4 linked regions of the Caenorhabditis elegans genome follow. The protein of the gene in region 2 purifies or fractionates together with the protein of the main gene of each other region. This does not show direct contact. Each region holds a gene or a part of one and is shown on either strand. Other genes may lie near its edges.

Region 1 (4,722 bases), on a different chromosome or scaffold from region 2:
TTGTTTTCTAAAATTAAATAGGAATGAAAATAAATCGGAATCCATTTTTATACCTTGACAGATCCCAAAACTTTCCGGCCAAGGCTGCGAGAGCGACGTTTTCTCGGAAGATTGGGCGATTCAAAGGGTGTAGAAATGTCTTCCGCAGGGGTCTCAAAATGTTCGAAATGAGGTGTAACGTTTACAGAATTAATGGCTTCCGCATAAGCAAGGTAAACTGAAACAGTTTATAAATATTAAATCAATCAACCTGAAATTCATACCTTCGTGATCTCTCATAGCTTGTGAACGAGCCTGCTCTTGAAAATCTCGCCGGATATTTTCAGCTTGAAGATCTCTCAGTTTTTTTTCGGATTCCATTGTTTTCTTCAGCTGCTCTTTCTTCAATTGCTCCAGTCGTCTCATAACAATTTCCTTCTCATTCAATAACTTTGCATGCTTTCTTTGAGCATTTGACTTTCTGAAATGATATTTTTAATCCAATTATTTACTTTTTGAACTTACGCGATGAACAATCGCTTGTTCTGGTCGTTATTGACAATTTTGTACATATTTTGTGTGATGGAATTTATTGCATTGACGACATCAACAAGGCATTCCATAACTGGAGCATTGTCGGCAGGATTGATCTGAAAAAGGAAACAAATGTTTGTTAAACACATTCTCGTCTATACCTCCGACACAGTTTCTGCCACGTGAACACGTATGGAAAAATCTTCAAGCTCGTCAGTGAGTGTTCCGGCCCCATCCATCCACTTCTGTGCCCAGGCGACTAGGTTTCGCTGGTTCTCTGGCGCCTTTACATTTTTACACAAATCGAGAAGGACTGCCAACCATTTTGCAGCCTCATTATGTAGTTCATCGAGAAGGTCCTTTTTCTGTGACAGGGACATTCTGAAACAGTGTTAGAAAATGAACATCGATGAAAGACACGTGTATTCAGCTCGACTAACGCCTCGAAAATTTTCAAAAAAGGCGGGAAAAAATATTTGAATTCGCCAAGAGGAATTTCACCGCAGCGCGTGCAAAAATGTCTGCATTTGCGCGTGACGGTGTTTGCACAAATTACACCGAATGGTCGAGCTGAAAACACGTGAAAGAAACTGAATGCCGTTATTTTCCGCGACGTGCTGAAAGTCGGTATTTTTGATGTGCAGGCATTGGAGTACGGTAGCAATGAACTTTTCTTTTGGTAGGTTCAAATGTGTTGTCTAAATATTCTTTTTTTTATTAATTATAGGTCTCTCACTATCTTTTAAAAAGCAAATAGACGATGGTATTTTCAATGTCCCATTTTTCTATTTTTAATAACGTCGACTTTAATCACAAGGAAAGAAGCATTTACGATTTGCCGGTTTTTAACTGTCTATGTCTCTTAGTCTCCACACTCTCTCATGTGCGCGCAATCGTGCTCTAATGCATCTGGTGCGCGCGCCGTTCAAAATGTATCGTTTTCTGGTTCGATTAATACAACTTTATTTTTAATACTTGCTCGATATTCTCTTGATTTTGCACACTGCCAAGTATTTTACGTTGTATCCCTTCACGTATTAATTATTCATCTTCGAAACCTTTTCTTCTCGAATAATGTAAATTTCACATCTTCATCGTTTCAGATGTTTTTCTCAAAAGCTGGCAAAGCCGCTGTTGAATGGGCAAAGGGTTCAAAGTAAGTTTTTTGTGGAACATACTGTTTTTTATTTCTAAATTTTCAGAGTCCCTTACAAGGAGTTTGCTCTCACCCTTGAGAAAATCGAAGAGTTATCGGGAAAAAAGAAAGTGGATGAATTGGCTCAATTTTTCACCAAAGTTCTGGACTTTTCACCCGACGATTTAACAGCGTGCGTGTACATGTCAGTTAATCAGCTCGGGCCATCGTATGAAGGGCTCGAGCTTGGAGTTGCTGAAAATTCGCTGATCAAGGTTTGCATTCCACTGAATCTATATTAAATTATAAAGAAAATTTAAGGCTGTTGCTAAAGCGACCGGACGTACAGAGGGAAAAATTAAAGAAGATCTTCGCGCGAAAGGAGATCTTGGGACTGTCGCACAACAGTCAAGATCCAATCAGAAAATGCTTGCTGTTCCAAAAGCATTAACTGTTCCAACTGTTTTCAACAAGTTAACCGAAATTGCAAAGCTCAGTGGCACTTCAGCTATGAACAAGAAAGTTGATGCCATTAGTGCACTCCTCATTGCATGTCAAGGAATTGAGGCTCGATTCCTCGTCCGAATGCTCGCCGGCAAAATGAGAATCGGTCTCGGTGAACAAAGTGTTCTATCAGCACTTGGACATGCATTCACTCTTTCGAAAATAACTGATCAAAAGGTTCGTGGTGACAAACTCGATTCTCTGAAAGATGCAAATGTTAAGCGAGTAAAGACCGCCTATTGGTAATAATTGTTTCTTTATTAAATTATTCATCTAATTAATTTTCAGCGAATGCCCTAACTACAATCGTCTGATCGAAGTTGCACTGACTGAAGGTGTGGAAGCTCTTGTCGAAAAATGTAAACTTTCACCCGGAATTCCACTGAAACCTATGCTGGCTCACCCTACAAAGGGAATTGATGAAATTATGCGACGATTCAGAAATCAGACAATGACCTGTGAATGGAAATATGACGGAGAACGCGGCCAGATTCATAAACGAGAAGACGGGCAAATTTTCATCTACAGTCGAAACCAAGAGAACAACACTACCAAGTACCCCGATATTATCGAAAAAATTTCATCCTGCATCGGGGATGGGGTAACTTCATTTATTGTCGATGCTGAAGTTGTAGCTATCGATGAGGCTGGCTTAATTCTTCCGTTCCAAGTTTTGTCGACTCGTAAAAGGAAAAATGCAACTGATGATAACGGAGTCAAGGTTGTAGTTTTTCTTTTCGATCTTCTCTACTTCAATGGGGAGCCTCTCGTGAGAAAACCACTCCGAAAAAGAAGAGAACTTCTTCGAACAAACTTCAAAAAGATTGATGGAAGCTTCTATTTTGCAACTTCCGTAGATACAAATGATACTGATGAAATCAACTCTTTCTTCGATGAAGCCGTTCAAAATAAATGCGAAGGACTCATGATCAAAACTCTCGACACTGAAGCTACTTATGAGATTTCAAGACGTTCCCACAGCTGGTTGAAAATGAAGAAAGATTACGTTGATGGAGTAGGAGATACGTTGGATCTTGTCGTCATGGGTGCTTATTCTGGAGTTGGAAAGAGAACTGGAGTGTATGGAGGATATCTTCTCGGATGTTACAATCCTACTACAGAAGAGTACGAAAGTGTATGCAAGATTGGAACTGGTTTCACTGATGAAGATTTGGCCGAGCAATACAAGATCCTACAAGACAAGAAAATTGACAAATCTCCTTCTTATTATCAATTTGATCACACTCTTAAACCAGATGACACTTTTTCTCCGTATCTTGTTTTCGAAGTCAAATGTGCCGATATTACTATATCTCCGCGTCACAAAGCTGCAAGTGGATTGACGGATGATGGAAAAGGAATCTCTTTGAGATTTCCTCGTTTCCTGCGTATTCGGGACGATAAAAATTCCGACGATGCAACATCTTCGGAGCAAGTTCTTGAAATGTACAAAAACCAAGAAGCTTTTGCCAACCAGAAGATCGAAAAGGCGGATGCAGTTGATGAGGATGACGAATTTGAAGAAAAAGAAGATGAAGAGGAGGAGTTGAACATGACCAATGTATCTGAAGGAAGTTCTAAAGAAAATCCAGTGAAAGAGGAGATCAAGAAAGAGACTCCTAAATCAGTATCCCCGAAAAAATTCGAAAAGGTTTTAGTTTTTGAAATTACCATTATCGCTAATTATATATATTATTTCCAGAAACCGCCTGTAAAATCTTCACCAGTTAACAAATCGCCCGTGAAAAGTTCACCAATAAAGAAAGAAGCAGAGAAAAAGAAAGGACCAGTTGCTAGCATCTTTTCATCATCGACAAAGAAGAATGAAAAAGACGTTAAAGTGGAATCTCCATCTCCGATCAGAAAGAAGAAGCTGCCTTCTGATTCTGACGAGTCTGATGAAGAAACCTCAACTAATAAGAAACAGCCAGCAAAGAAGAGGTCTCGCGTTGCAATTGATTCCGATTCCGACTAATGCCAAGCAACTAATACTGAGATACATTTCTGCATATTCAATGATTTACTTTTTGTACTATGTTTCCTAATTTTCTAAGTAAATACCTCACATCGACTTTTTCTTTTGTTCACGGCCGGTCATTTTAAACAACTCATTCATGTGTGCGAATGTGTTGTACTTTCAACTGATTTATTCAGAACTTTGGATTTTGAGTCTTCTATTTAGGAAAGAGATAGACGCTGACCTAGATACCTAGAAACAAACACATAGTAAAACTTTACTAAAAAGACAAATGTATATCTACATTCTACCACGTCTGTGTACTCCTGAATCATCTTCTCTCCTTCGTGCATTCTTCTGTTGTGTCGTTGACTTACGTAGTGCGCATCCGCAAAATTCGATTTGCAGTTCAATACGGGAGAGCAGAAAGCATAAGACATTCTGATGCCTCAAACCAATTCAATTAATATTCTTAAGTTTCAAACAAAAAGTTTATTTAGAATTAAAACTTTGAAGCAATAATTAAAACTTTGAACAAATCTAGGTGAATTTGTCACGTCATTCCATGAATCCGCTACTATCCAAAAAAGCGTATCGGGAAAGAATCGTAACA
Region 2 (4,645 bases):
GCGTATTTTGCTGATGAATTTTTTCGACCGATTTTCCTTATCACGAATGGCACCACCCACTTGTGGGTCACACCAGATCCTAAATATCAATATAGTGGACGGGAAGAGGAAGGTTTTTTCGTGTTTGGTGTTCATTTTAGTTTACATGTTTTGTTTCCCATTGCTCTTTATTTATAGAGGAGACGCTCGCCCACGTAATATAATAGCATTTTGGAAAAATCCATTATCTTTCAGACAATCTTATCATGATTTCCACAATAGACTGGCTAGAATGTAGCATTCTAAATATTTGAATTTAACAGAAAATATTCAATTTCTCTTTAAAAAAATACTTGAAAATTAATTATATTCCCAAATTGGCAACATTCTTTCCCGATTGTCTTTCTGTCCATTTAATTTGTCTGCCCTTTCTTTTCTCACCTTTTTTATCCGTTTCTTTCTTTGTCACCTCCGAAGTTTTGTCAGCATTTTCCGTTTTTTTCTCCTCATATTTTGTTTGCACTTTTCACCTTCTAAAAAAATGATCGGCAGAGACACAAATAAATGTGGCCATTCGTGTGCTCCGTTTTCCAAATGAAACCCGATTGGCAGAATTTATGGTTGAAAATGCATAGTTATTTAGGAGTTGCAAAGAACAGTTTTCATTCTTCTTTTTCTTTGTCTTCTTGTTAATTTGGTAAACTGATCAGACGTTAATCAAATTGATAAACTTTCAAGTTCAGTGATTTTTGATTTGTTTTCTGAAAACGAAATTAGTTTTTTCTCTGATAGACTAAGTCTTCGAAGAATTCATCTTCCAGATAAAATCCAAAAAAAATGTGTTCCAGAATATCCTAGTCGGTCAACTAAAAGTCAAGAACCATAGATTAAATCTAGAGTTACAAAGTTTCGTCTCTTCTCCAGAGTCAAGTTACTCGAGTTTTTATGTTTCCTAGAGAAATACATTGTTTCTTTTCATTGTCGATCAATGTCGCCCAGAGAACATTATTTGTCATGGTTACCACTCGCACACACTACACAATTTCATTCAGTCATCATTTTTTGTGACCCGAGAAGATTTCAGTAAATATTTTCATGTTTGTAAAGAGACTGGCGCATCCACTTTTCTCTTACTGTTTCTTTCTTCTCTCGCTGCCCTGTGAAAAAAATGGAAGTGGAGTAAAAAGTGACCGATTTATAGTGTTGTTCCAGTTGTTCCAATTCATTTATATTGTAGACTGCGGTTCGCTACTAGGTATATGATTCGAAAGGAAAAATTACATTTTTTAGTGCTAGAAATTAACATTATTCCATTAAATGTAACTAGCTGAAAGTAAGCAGTTTATTACTCTGCCAGTAAAAAAGAATTGCGCAGAATCATTATGAAGTACATCAATATATCAATTAACGTATTTCTTTTTGATTTTTCGTTGTATAAATGAAACAATAATCTCACTTTTAAATAACATTTATGTGTATCTAGATGGTTTACTTTGAAACTTGTAGTTTCTACTATTTACCTCTCAACACGAGTAATTTTTGTGAATCAATGTTCGTCATTCTCACTTCAAAATCTAGTTTATAAATTTACAGAAATGGCATGCAAACGTCATTCAGTGTCCGATCCCATTTCGAAGGATCTCGTCGAGTGTCTTCGTGAATCAATGCAAAGAGATCTCAAATTTGAGACTCCGTACGTTTTCGTGATATTTGGAGCATCGGTATGACATCTATTCCATATATATCGATTATTAATTATTTAACATTTTTTCAGGGAGATCTCGCAAAAAAGAAAATATACCCAACACTGTGGTGGTTGTTCCGTGACAACCTTTTGCCAGTCAACATCAAATTTATTGGATATGCCCGTTCCGATCTGACAGTTTTCAAGCTTCGTGAATCTTTTGAGAAAAACTGTAAAGTTCGAGAAAATGAGAAATGTGCTTTTGATGACTTCATCAAGAAGTGCTCATACGTTCAGGTAAATCTACATCTGCTAATAAATAGGCGTGAAACTTTGTTCCAAAAATACAGTGCTCGGTCTCGACACCACAAATTTGTGTTAAATGCGAAAACGTATCACCTTTAAACAGTACTGTAGCTTCAAGCTTTTGTCGATTTCAGATTTTAAAAAAATTGTTTTAAAACTGAAAAAAAATAATTGCAACACATACATTTTTTTTACAAATCAGGTAGGAAAACTACGAAAACCAACAAAAACTTGAAACTACAGTACTCTTTAAAGGCGCGCACTTTTTTGCATTCAACAAAAATTGTGGGGTCGAGACCGGTTACCGTATTTTTCGCACAAAATCTTGTTACTGGGTAATAAAAATTTGAATCGAAGCTTTTTTCTAGAAACTTTGAACATAAAAAGCACCATTGACATTTTTTCAGGGCCAATACGACACTTCTGAAGGATTCCAACGCCTTCAATCTTCAATTGATGATTTCCAAAAAGAAAGCAATAATCGTAGGTTTAGAATTAAATTTCACTCAATCTAAGCAAATTTATAGAAGCCGTCAATCGTCTCTACTACCTCGCTCTTCCTCCATCAGTTTTCAACGTGGTTTCTACGGAATTAAAGAAGAATTGTATGGATCATGGTGATTCATGGACACGTGTTATCATAGAAAAACCATTTGGACATGATTTGAAATCATCTTGTGAACTTTCAACTCATTTGGCGAAACTTTTTAAAGAAGATCAAATCTACCGTATTGATCATTATCTCGGAAAAGAAATGGTTCAGAATTTGATGGTTATGCGGTAAGAATGTTTTTTCAAAGTATTTGAAGAGATTTATAATTTTATTTTGAACTTTCAGATTTGGAAACCGAATTCTCGCTCCATCTTGGAACCGCGATCACATTGCATCAGTTATGATCTCATTTAAAGAAGATTTTGGAACTGGTGGCCGTGCTGGATATTTTGATACAGCTGGAATTATCCGTGATGTTATGCAGAATCATTTGATGCAAATTCTAACTTTAGTCGCCATGGAGAAACCAGCAAGTTTGAATGCTGAAGATATTCGTGATGAAAAGGTCAAAGTGTTGAAAGCTGCTAAAGTTGTAGAATTAAAGGATGTAGTAGTTGGACAATACATTGCCAGTCCTGAATTTGATCGTGAGTTTTTCAAAAATTACAATTTTATAAAAGTTTTGATTTTTAAATACATTAATTTTAGACCCAGAAGCATCACAAGGATACAAAGATGACAAATCAGTTCCAGCCGATTCGACTACTCCAACGTATGCTCTTGCTGTTGTTCACATCAATAATGAACGTTGGGAGGGTGTTCCATTCTTCTTGCGTTGTGGAAAAGGTAGGGAATATACAAAAAAAAACCGAATTTTTAAATTTCAATATTATTGCAGCTCTCAACGAGAAGAAAGCAGAAGTTCGTATACAATTCAAAGAAGTCAGTGGAGATATCTATCCGTCTGGTGAATTAAAGCGATCCGAATTAGTGATGAGAGTGCAACCAAATGAGGCAGTTTACATGAAACTGATGACCAAGAAACCTGGAATGGGATTCGGTGTTGAAGAAACTGAACTTGATTTGACTTATAATAATAGGTTAGTTTTTGAAATTTCTCTTCAAAAAAAATTTCATTGTGATAATTTCAGATTCAAAGAAGTCCGTCTTCCTGATGCTTATGAACGCCTATTTCTCGAAGTATTCATGGGATCTCAAATTAATTTCGTTCGAACTGATGAGCTTGAATACGCTTGGCGTATTTTGACGCCAGTTCTCGAAGAGCTTAAAAAGAAGAAAGTTCAACCGGTTCAATATAAATTTGGAAGGTTGGTTGTGTTTCTTTTTTTTTAAAATTAAATACAGTAATCCAATTTTTCAGTCGTGGTCCAACTGAAGGTGACGAATTGATGAAAAAGTACGGTTTCATCTTCACTGGAACATACAAATGGGTTGCTCCAAAGCTATAAATGATACCAGATCTTCCTCTATTCATTCTCTTTCAAATGTTTGTAGAAATAACTTCAAAAATTCAGCAGCTACTAGTTCATATGTTTTCCTGTGTTCCACATCAATATTATTCCTGCTCTTTTTTCATTTGTTAATGTTCTATTGAATGAATGAAAATAAATACGTTTTCAGTTAAAAGAAGTGTAGAACGATAAGATAAGCCAGTAAAAAGGCTTATTTTAAATAATCTGTATTCAAAAAATAATCATTTTTTCGACAAGCCGGTTACGGTGCGCCAGTCCGCAAACACTCTGCATACACTCTACTTCTACAGTAGTGGACGTGCGACGCGTGTTGCGTCGCGCATCATCATATTGTTCAATTCTTGTTCAAGTTCAATCATATTTTCTTCGGATTTCTATCATTTTCCATCGGATTTCCCATCATTTTTGCACAAATGTTTTAAAGTATCAATATCTTTGATTTAAAAAAAAACGTCTTTCTTGTTTTACGTCTTTTTCTTGCTAGCTGCACATCGTATTACTCATTCTTTTTTTCAGCCATGGTTGCTGCTTCCGCTACCCGGAACATGCTCCAATCATATGGAAAACGTGGAATTTACGTTTCACTTGCTGTCGCTGTCGTCTCGACTGCCGCATTCAACGCATTTTACGTTTGGCCACGTCACAACAAATATGAAGAGTTTTTCGCGTCAGTGTGATCCTCGCACAAGT
Region 3 (5,052 bases), on a different chromosome or scaffold from region 2:
TTATTTTAATTTCTAACATCGCTGATAACGTCTAACATTCTAAAAAACCTCCACAGCGAACCCCTTCCATTCCCACGGTCCTCTTCTTCTCCGCCAAAGGTCATACTCATCTTCCCATAGTCCGCAATTACACCCCCTCCCCCCTCGACGCACAATTGCGTACCCCACCCTCCTCTCAGCGTCTCCAGCCGTCATCCCTTTTCTCTGCCCAATTCATATCACACATTTTCTCTTTCTCTCTTCCCATTCACTCTTTTCTTTTCGTTCCCTGTTTTTTTGTTACAATGCACGTGTGTGTTTATACTGCTCTCTGAGGGAGAAAAAATCAGTAAATATATCATTTCTGTGAGGTCCGTTTTTTTTTAGTCCAAATAGGCTGTAGTAGGCTGAAAAAGCTTACTTTAATTACTATATTAATCGAAAAAGAACGTAAATTGACAACATTTATTGCTCAAATTTGAAAAATTGCTGCATTTTTGAGCATTGTAATTAATTACAACACACATATATATATATAATTTTAAAAAATGACGAAATTTAATTTTTGAGCAAAAAGAATTGTCAAATTTCGTTTTAGTAGTACTTTTGTACTTTTGTTTAAAATCCCAATTAGAAACGTTACTTTGAAAACTACCATATTCTTGAATTTTTTATTTCAAATTTCGGTTATAAACGCTATTTAATTCCCAATTTCCAATGAGCCTCTACTAGAGTCTTCCCCAATTAGAAATCGATACCGAAAATTCCATTGTTACCCCCCATGTACTTTCCCATGTCTCTATTTGATGGGTGGCTAATCAAACAATTACCCCTTCCCTCCCCCCACCCCGCCGACGTGTATGTTCTGTTTAGCTTAACAGAAGGTACCCGCTCCACCAGTGATAAGAATTGTTTCACTGTGTTGTATGTGTTTGCATTTCGGAACAGGAAAACGTTTGGTGGTGGGGGGACATAAAAGTTACATAAAACTTTTTTTTTGTTACTTTGCGAAAATCGAAATAAAAGTAGCGATCTTGTGATATCGGAGAAATTTAGGGTTTACTAGTATTCTTGGGAGGGAAAATCTCAAAAAATCCGAATTTCCAGACCCAAAAGGCCCTTAATTTATATAAAGTATGGTTTTCAGAACTTAATAGCTTGGTTTTAACTATTCATATTAGTTTCAGCCTAAAAATATGACATTTTTTAAAGTTTTAACCAAAAAGTTTCTCGTCGAACCTATGAGTTTTCCCACGTGGTGTGGTAGGTTGTAACGGTGTGATCTACAAAAATGCGGGAATTTTTTTCCCCAAAAAATGTGATGTCAGCACAGTGTTAACCATGCGAAATCAGTTGAGAAGTCTGCGGCTAAATTCGCGCATTTTTTGTAGATCTACGTAGATCAAACCGATATGGGGCATTCTGACATCACACCAATTTTCAGCTTTTTCCTGGATTTCTAGGTACAAAATTGAAGTTTTCAACGCTTTTTTGGAGATTCCCACGGATTTTTAGCTATTTTCAACGGCGGTTTTCGGTTTTCCAACACCCACAGCTTTAGAAAATGCAAAATCCCGTCTAAAATCTAGAGGAATGACGAATTTTTGCGAAAAAATCTGTTTATCCTCTGCTCATCCCCTCGTAAAGCCCGCTGTCAACACCTTTTCTTAATTAAATTTTTTTGCTCCAACTCCGTTCTCACGTGGTGCCAGGCTGTCCCATTACGGTTTGATCTACAAAAAAATGCGGTTTTTTTTGCCCAGAAAAATGTGAAACCATACAAAATCAGTTGAGAACTCTGCGCCTCTTCTCCCGCATTTTTTGTAGATCTACGTAGATCAAGCCGAAATGAGACACTTTGACACCGCGTGCTTTCTCTTCAATTATAGCTTTTTCTCCTGAACTTTTGCAGTTTTATAGCGTAGGTAGGCAGGCAGGTAGGCATGCCTGAATCTGTATTTTCCTTTTTTTGTATGTTACATGCTTCTCTTTTATGATATATCTCAAAATTCCAAATTTCCAGCTCACCAAGCAAAATGAACGGAGACACAGACGCCTCGTCATCTAGGACGGGAGCTCCACGAAAACCGCGCCCAGAAATTCAAATCTACCGTCCAGGAATGCTCCGCCAGGGAGGGAGCACGAAAAGCTTGAGCTCTACGAACGAAGAAGCACGACCACCACGCCCGGAGAAGTTGAACACAACAACGACGACGATGTCGGGCAATTCCAGACGAAGAAGCAACGATACGGACAGTGTGACGTCACGTGGTGGATCTGGAAGTACGACGCCCGATGCAAATGTGATTAATGCCATGAATGAGCGAGGTGGAGGAAGGAATCGATTTGAGAAAGGCTATCGACAACAACAGAGAACAGATGGGCCATCGAATTATGTAAGTTTTTATCTTATCGCTCAAAAACCAAAAGTTCTACCCTAACACTACAGAAAAAAACTGAAATTACCTAAAACCCTCAAAAAATTTTGGAAAAATTCATTATCTAGCACGGGGAAACGGTGTCAGAGTGCCTCATTTTGACGTGATCTTCGTGGATCTACAAAAAATGCGGGAGTTGAGACGCAGAGTTCTCAACTAATTTTGCATGGTTAAGAACGTGCTGGCGCCACATTTTTGGTAATAAAAATTCCCGTATTTTTCGTAGATCAAACCGTGATGGGACATCCTGACACCACCCTCAGCAAATTTTGAAAAACTAATATTTTAGCATGATAAAAGCCCCAAATTCAGCTGAAAATGTCTCAAAATACCTTAAAAGCACTAGAAAACGACTTGAATTAACGGAAAATCTTAAAATCTATGGCAAAACTGATATTTTTACGGGAAAAGCCAAAAATTTTCAGTAAATCTCTCGAAACCCAAAGTCTTCACTATGAAGTAGCTGAAATTGACTGAAAACCCTCAAAAATTGTTTAAAAACTCATTATTAGCACGAGAAAATACCTTAGTTGGCTGAAAATCCCCAAAAACGCCAAAAATCCAAATATTTAACTCTAAAGCCACTGTGGAACGGCTGAAGGTAACTCAAAATCCTCAAAATTTGAGAAATCACGTGGTATCAAGTTGCCCCATAACGGTTTGATCTACAAAAATGCGGGAATTTTTTGGCCAAAAAATGTGACGCCAGCACGTTCTTAACAATGCGAAATCAAATGAGAACTCTGCGTCTCTTTTCCCGCAATTTTTGTAGAACTACGTAGATCAAGCCAAAATTGGAGACTCTGACACCACGTGAGATCACGTATTTTGGCTCTGGAATTTAGCTGGAAAAGGTCTCAAATTCTCATGAAACCCGACTGAACCCAACTTCAAACTGGCTGAAAACTTATATTTTGTCTCGAAGACTCCAGGAAAAAAGCTAAGAATTGCTCAAGATTGAACTCAAATCCCCAGAACTAGACAAAAGTCTGAAATTGACTGAAAAGTTGCACACCCCTACAAATGTCCCAAATCCCACGAAAACCATTCCAATTCCAGAATTCCACACAATCCCTCTACGACACACGGCAACATGGTGGCTATATGGAGTACCAGGGCAACCACCGATCGAATCACCGGAATAATGGGAGATACAGTAACCAGCAGCATCAGCAGCATCGGCAACCGTTCGAACGACCCGGCGGAAATCATTATGTAGGTTATCAGGTTTTCTTAATGGAAGTGTCTGGGGGGGAGAAGGGGTGAATTAATTAGAATTAATGGGATGTGTGGGATGTGAAGTGATCAGTAAGGTATGATGGGAATATGGAAACTTTAGGAAAAAAGAAATTTTGGGGAAAAAGAGATAAATCGCTCAAATTCTAGTCTAAAACTGTAAAACTTAGTAGAAATTGTACCAAACAGCTGAGAAAAGCTTTAGAAATTAGCCCACTTCAAGAAAATTCACGTCTAGTACAGAAAGCTAGAGATTTTATCAATCTGGACAGTTTTCCATACAAATTCGAGGTTTTTACTGGTGAAAACTGTCAGAATTTGAGAAATTTGACAATCTGAACTTAGAATTACGTTTAATACCGCCTTAAGAAGGCATGATACCGTTTCGAATTGTAAAACTCTGAACAACCTTAGAAAATTGTCCGTTCTCGAAAAAAAACATAAATTTTTGCGGAAATCACCATTGAGTACGATAGTCAAGTACGCAAACACGACGCGCATTTACAAAATTGCGTATCAAATATTTTTTGAGCTAAAGCTTTTTTTGTTCAAACAACCAAACTTTTAAAGCTAAATCTTTTCAATTTCCAGACCCGCGGCTTCAACGAGCGAGCTTCCATGCGCGGGGACGGCGCCATCGCCCGACGTCCTCAAGGATCCCGTCGCCAACGCAACGATTCCATCAACTCTACCCAATCAGAAATGCCACCTCAAACCGGTGCTCAACTTCACATTGACACCTCATTCGACTCGGCATCTCAGTGTGGAGCCTCATCGAATTTCTCGATGAATTCCCTTGGCGAGGCGTTCAGTTTCGAGGAAATGTGCCAGAACCTGCAGAATTTCGCGTCGATGGATTGGAGTAAAGAGGTGGAAAATGAGTTTGCAATGCAGAAAGAGCAGGAGGAAGAGGAAGAGCGACGGATGGAGCAGAAGCTTCAAGAAGCTGCTGCTCAGGAAGCTCAGAAAGCGGCGTCTCCGAGGAGAAATAACCGAAGGAATAATCGAAGAGGTGGAGGCAACAGTCGGTACCATCCCGATGAATCCGACAGAGAAAGCTCGTTCGGTGGAAGTATCGCCGAGGAAAAAGAGGAAGAAGAAGCCGAGGAAGAGCTCAAAAGTGGTGAGAGAACTCCGACTTCTGTGCGAAGCGGCAACTCTTATAATCCACGTGTTCTGTACCAGAGAACACGTGGAGCCAACGACGAGAACCATCCGAAACGAAGAGACGCCGCCGTGGAGAAGAAGCCGAAAGAGCCGAGACGGTACCGCGGTGAGCATGACGATCGGGATGATGATGCTTCGGAGTATCATGGAACGCTGGAGAACCATATGTCGTCGGGACGTCTTGCTGGGAGAATTCAGATTGTGCAGCGCTCGCAGAATGGGACGGAAGCCG
Region 4 (3,457 bases), on a different chromosome or scaffold from region 2:
TGGCGTTTGAATAACCAACTTTCGAACATGTCTCTCAGAAAAATATTTAATAAACATGTTTCCTATTGAAAAAATATTTCAGGCGGTTTTGACATCGACGAGAAAACAGTTTCCTCAAGACAAACGAGCTTCAAAACAGTGACAACAGAAATCGAAGGATTGATAGAGCAATTGACAAATATCAATGATGATGTTAGTTTATTTTCAATTTTGTTTTTAAATTCGTCAACTTCAGATGAATGACGTAGCTGGTGCTCAATCCTCGGCATCTTGGGCTAATAATCCAGCCATTCAACACACACTTCGACGACATCGAGAAATTCTTCGAGATTACGGTAGTGAGTATCGACGTGCAAGAGATAATGTTGATCAGGTATTACAGAGGTATGAAAAATACTTTTTTTAAATTAAACAATACGATATTATTCAGAGAACTCTTGTTGAGCAGTTCAAATGAAAATCGTAATAATCCTATACTGAACAACAGGGCTCGTGGATATGATATGTATTTGAAGGTATTTTTGGGAAGAATTTCAAGAAAGTAGTACTAATTAATTTAATTTCAGGAGAATGACCATATAAACGCTTGTGATCGATTGTTAGATGAACAGTTAGAAATGGCAATGTCAACGAAAGAGAATATGGCCAGACAGGGAATTAATCTACGTGGAATATCAACTCGGCTTCATCATATTTCAAGTAATTTATCTTTAAAAGGGAAACAATTAAAGTAAATCTAAGTATTTATGAACATTTCTGATAAAAATGTTCCTGAAACACCCGATCTTTTTTGAAATCGTCAATCTAGATTAATTTAGACCTAATAAACTTGAGTTCAAATTTCTTGCAATACAGTTTTTTGACAAAAAATCTTTAAAAAAAAACAACAAAAAATTTATTTGAAATTTGGACCGAAAAACAAAAGTTAGAATTTCTCCAAAAAGCCGAAAAAATTTCAAAAAAAAATTCCTCCTTTCAACTGAGACTCAACATTTTTGAAAAACAGTTTTACAAGCTGCATAATAATTATCAAAACAACTTTTTTTAGAAAAATATCCTGCAATTAACAATTTGATGCAAAAAATCAAAACGAAAAAGCAGAAGAACACACTGATCCTTGCTGCCGTCATCTCATCGTGCCTTATTTTTACAATTTTCTGGATTATCAATTAATCAGTTTCAAATATCAAAAAAAAACTCAAAAACTTTTTCGAACTCCGATTTTCGTATTTTTCGAAGAAATTTAACAATCGGCAGTCGTAACTTTTTATCAAGTTTTCGAGTTGTTATTACTTTGTGTCAATGAAAAATAGAAACTGAATGATAAGAATAATCGATTTTTGTACTATTCCCTTGTCCCTTCATACAACGCACACCACTTTCATTGTGATATTCCTCACCGTTTTTCTAATTTTTACTTGTAAATAATTTTCTCGTTTTGTAATCTTTCGAGTATAATGGAGTTCTTGGCTTTTTCGTTTTTTTCTCGATGTGAAACAATTGGGTATACATATTTATGAATTAAAGTATTATTTAAAGATTTTTTTGAAAGTTTACAGTTGAAAGTTTAATTCTATAACTTTATTTGTTCATTGATTCTGGATGATAAAATTTATTTATCTAGAATTCAGATGACCCTCCGTCCATTTGTGTGTCCATCAATTCTGAATGCCGATCTTGCATCATTGGCTTCTGAATGCAAGAAACTTTTAGCAGCTGGAGCAGATTGGTAAGGTGATCTTTAGAAATTCTGAATAGTTTTGACAACTACTTTCATATTTAAATGTCCCTTTAGATTTCAAAAATCTAAATGGGAACGCACAAAAACCTCTTCTGAAATCAACATGGAAACGTACTCCACGGCCAATTGGAAACGCTCCGACCCCCCGAGATTACGGTCTCGTTAGGTATTTGGCCACAAAATCGCAAATTGAAATTGTTTTCATCTTCAAACACAAATTGGCAGGACTAATTGAAAACGCTTAAACTATCAATGTCAATACCTAATGAGACCCATGGTTCGAGGGGCGGAGCGTTTTCATTTAGCAGTAAGTAAGTAACGTTTCCACTTGGATTTTCAAAGGATTTACTTTCTGCGTTCCCATAGTATCCAGCTCCCAACTTGCAGGCTTCACCTCGACGTGATGGACGGTCACTTTGTACCAAACCTCACATTCGGTCACCCTGTCGTTGAATCTCTTCGTAAATCTCTTGGTGCTGAACCATTCTTCGATGTTCATTTGATGGTCTCTAATCCTGGACAGTGGGTTGAACCGATGGCAAAAGCTGGTGCCAGCCAGTTCACATTCCATTATGAGGCTGTAGATGGTGATGTGGCAGTCAGTGAATTGATCGAAAAAATCAGAAAAAGTGGAATGAAAGTGGGATTATCGGTCAAACCGGGAACTTCTGTTGAGCATATTTTGAAGTAAAATCAAAATTATATTTCAATCTAGATTTTAAATTAAAAAACTTTTTAGACATGCTAATCATTTGGATAATGCTCTTATCATGACTGTGGAACCAGGATTTGGAGGACAAAAGTTCATGGAAAACATGATGGAAAAGGTATTTATTTTGGTTTTTATTTGATACGAATAAAATTTATGGCTTTCAGGTTCGCACAATCCGTTCAAAATATCCAAATCTGACTATTCAAGTTGACGGAGGAGTAACACCTGAAAATATTGAAATCTCTGCTCAAGCTGGAGCCAATGCGATCGTGAGTGGAACTGGAATCATCAAAGCTGCAGATCAATCTGTCGCCATGACAACAATCAGAAATGCAGTTGAAGCTGCTATTTCGAAGTGCTGATTTTCTTAATTACTTGAATATTGTTTTGAATTTTGAAGCTCATTTTTTCAGAGCTTTTTGAGGTTGTGATGTTAATAGTTAGTAAATGATTGTCAATTAAAAAATTCAAAGCAGCATTTATTTATCTATAAAGTTCAGATGGGCTCTGCAGTTCCTAGCTTCGGGGTCGGAGCAGGTGTCTGAAAAAAGAGCATTACAAAACATCATGGACCATTCTTCAGTTGCTTACATTTTTAACACTTTCCTTCTCCTTGCTCGGAGTCTTCTTATCCTGATTTGATGGCAATACTCCAGTACTTCCAATTGTATCTTTACTCGGAGTCTTTCGTGGTTCGATATTTCCTGCCTCTTGGCTCATTGCAGTATTCAACGACGGCTCCTTGCTTCTTCCTCCAGCATTTGCAGTCTTTGTAGATTGCTTCGGAGTCAACATGATCTCACGAGACGGCTGCTTACGATTCGGAATTGGAGGAGGAGAACGTGGCAATGTCTTTTTCTGAAAAATTGGTTGTACTTTTGCTCAAGATCTTGGAGTACTACAAAAGCTAAAAAATATTTCGAAAAATAAAAAACGAACCAGATCAGTCTCACTCTCCTTTGGTGTCTTCTGTAAGCTGAGCATGGCCGATTTTGGAGCAGGCT

The links.
Region 1: the proteins of gspd-1 (region 2) and lig-1 fractionate together in Caenorhabditis elegans (co-fractionation; one large-scale study listed by BioGRID). This does not show direct contact.
Region 3: the proteins of gspd-1 (region 2) and smg-6 fractionate together in Caenorhabditis elegans (co-fractionation; one large-scale study listed by BioGRID). This does not show direct contact.
Region 4: the proteins of gspd-1 (region 2) and F08F8.7 fractionate together in Caenorhabditis elegans (co-fractionation; one large-scale study listed by BioGRID). This does not show direct contact.

What each region holds. Positions count from the first base shown.
Region 1 is NC_003283.11:10,812,497-10,817,218, forward strand, and holds lig-1 (DNA ligase 1), read left to right. Parts: upstream 1-1,616; coding exon 1,617-1,669; intron 1,670-1,715; coding exon 1,716-1,923; intron 1,924-1,969; coding exon 1,970-2,394; intron 2,395-2,440; coding exon 2,441-3,803; intron 3,804-3,854; coding exon 3,855-4,127; 3' UTR 4,128-4,222; downstream 4,223-4,722. Other genes in the region: C29A12.1 (uncharacterized protein), read right to left, coding at 1-7, 54-217, 264-460, 505-629, 675-893. UniProt on the Caenorhabditis elegans protein: DNA ligase that seals nicks in double-stranded DNA during DNA replication, DNA recombination and DNA repair.
Region 2 is NC_003282.8:11,315,847-11,320,491, forward strand, and holds gspd-1 (Glucose-6-phosphate 1-dehydrogenase), read left to right. Parts: upstream 1-1,572; 5' UTR 1,573-1,574; coding exon 1,575-1,700; intron 1,701-1,753; coding exon 1,754-1,960; intron 1,961-2,376; coding exon 2,377-2,452; intron 2,453-2,496; coding exon 2,497-2,749; intron 2,750-2,807; coding exon 2,808-3,109; intron 3,110-3,170; coding exon 3,171-3,308; intron 3,309-3,360; coding exon 3,361-3,562; intron 3,563-3,613; coding exon 3,614-3,790; intron 3,791-3,843; coding exon 3,844-3,931; 3' UTR 3,932-4,105; downstream 4,106-4,645. Other genes in the region: B0035.18 (Mitochondrial cytochrome c oxidase subunit VIc/VIIs domain-containing protein), read left to right, coding at 4,474-4,622. UniProt on the Caenorhabditis elegans protein: Cytosolic glucose-6-phosphate dehydrogenase that catalyzes the first and rate-limiting step of the oxidative branch within the pentose phosphate pathway/shunt, an alternative route to glycolysis for the dissimilation of carbohydrates and a major source of reducing power and metabolic intermediates for fatty acid and nucleic acid biosynthetic processes.
Region 3 is NC_003281.10:2,471,866-2,476,917, forward strand, and holds the start of smg-6 (PIN domain-containing protein), read left to right. Parts: upstream 1-2,002; 5' UTR 2,003-2,015; coding exon 2,016-2,375; intron 2,376-3,476; coding exon 3,477-3,632; intron 3,633-4,244; coding exon 4,245-5,052.
Region 4 is NC_003281.10:7,345,317-7,348,773, reverse strand, and holds F08F8.7 (Ribulose-phosphate 3-epimerase), read left to right. Parts: upstream 1-1,624; 5' UTR 1,625-1,631; coding exon 1,632-1,729; intron 1,730-2,128; coding exon 2,129-2,428; intron 2,429-2,480; coding exon 2,481-2,568; intron 2,569-2,617; coding exon 2,618-2,815; 3' UTR 2,816-2,919; downstream 2,920-3,457. Other genes in the region: gos-28 (Golgi SNAP receptor complex member 1), read left to right, coding at 83-192, 236-384, 431-515, 567-699, 1,049-1,173; F08F8.6 (uncharacterized protein), read right to left, coding at 2,950-2,994, 3,045-3,311, 3,393-3,455.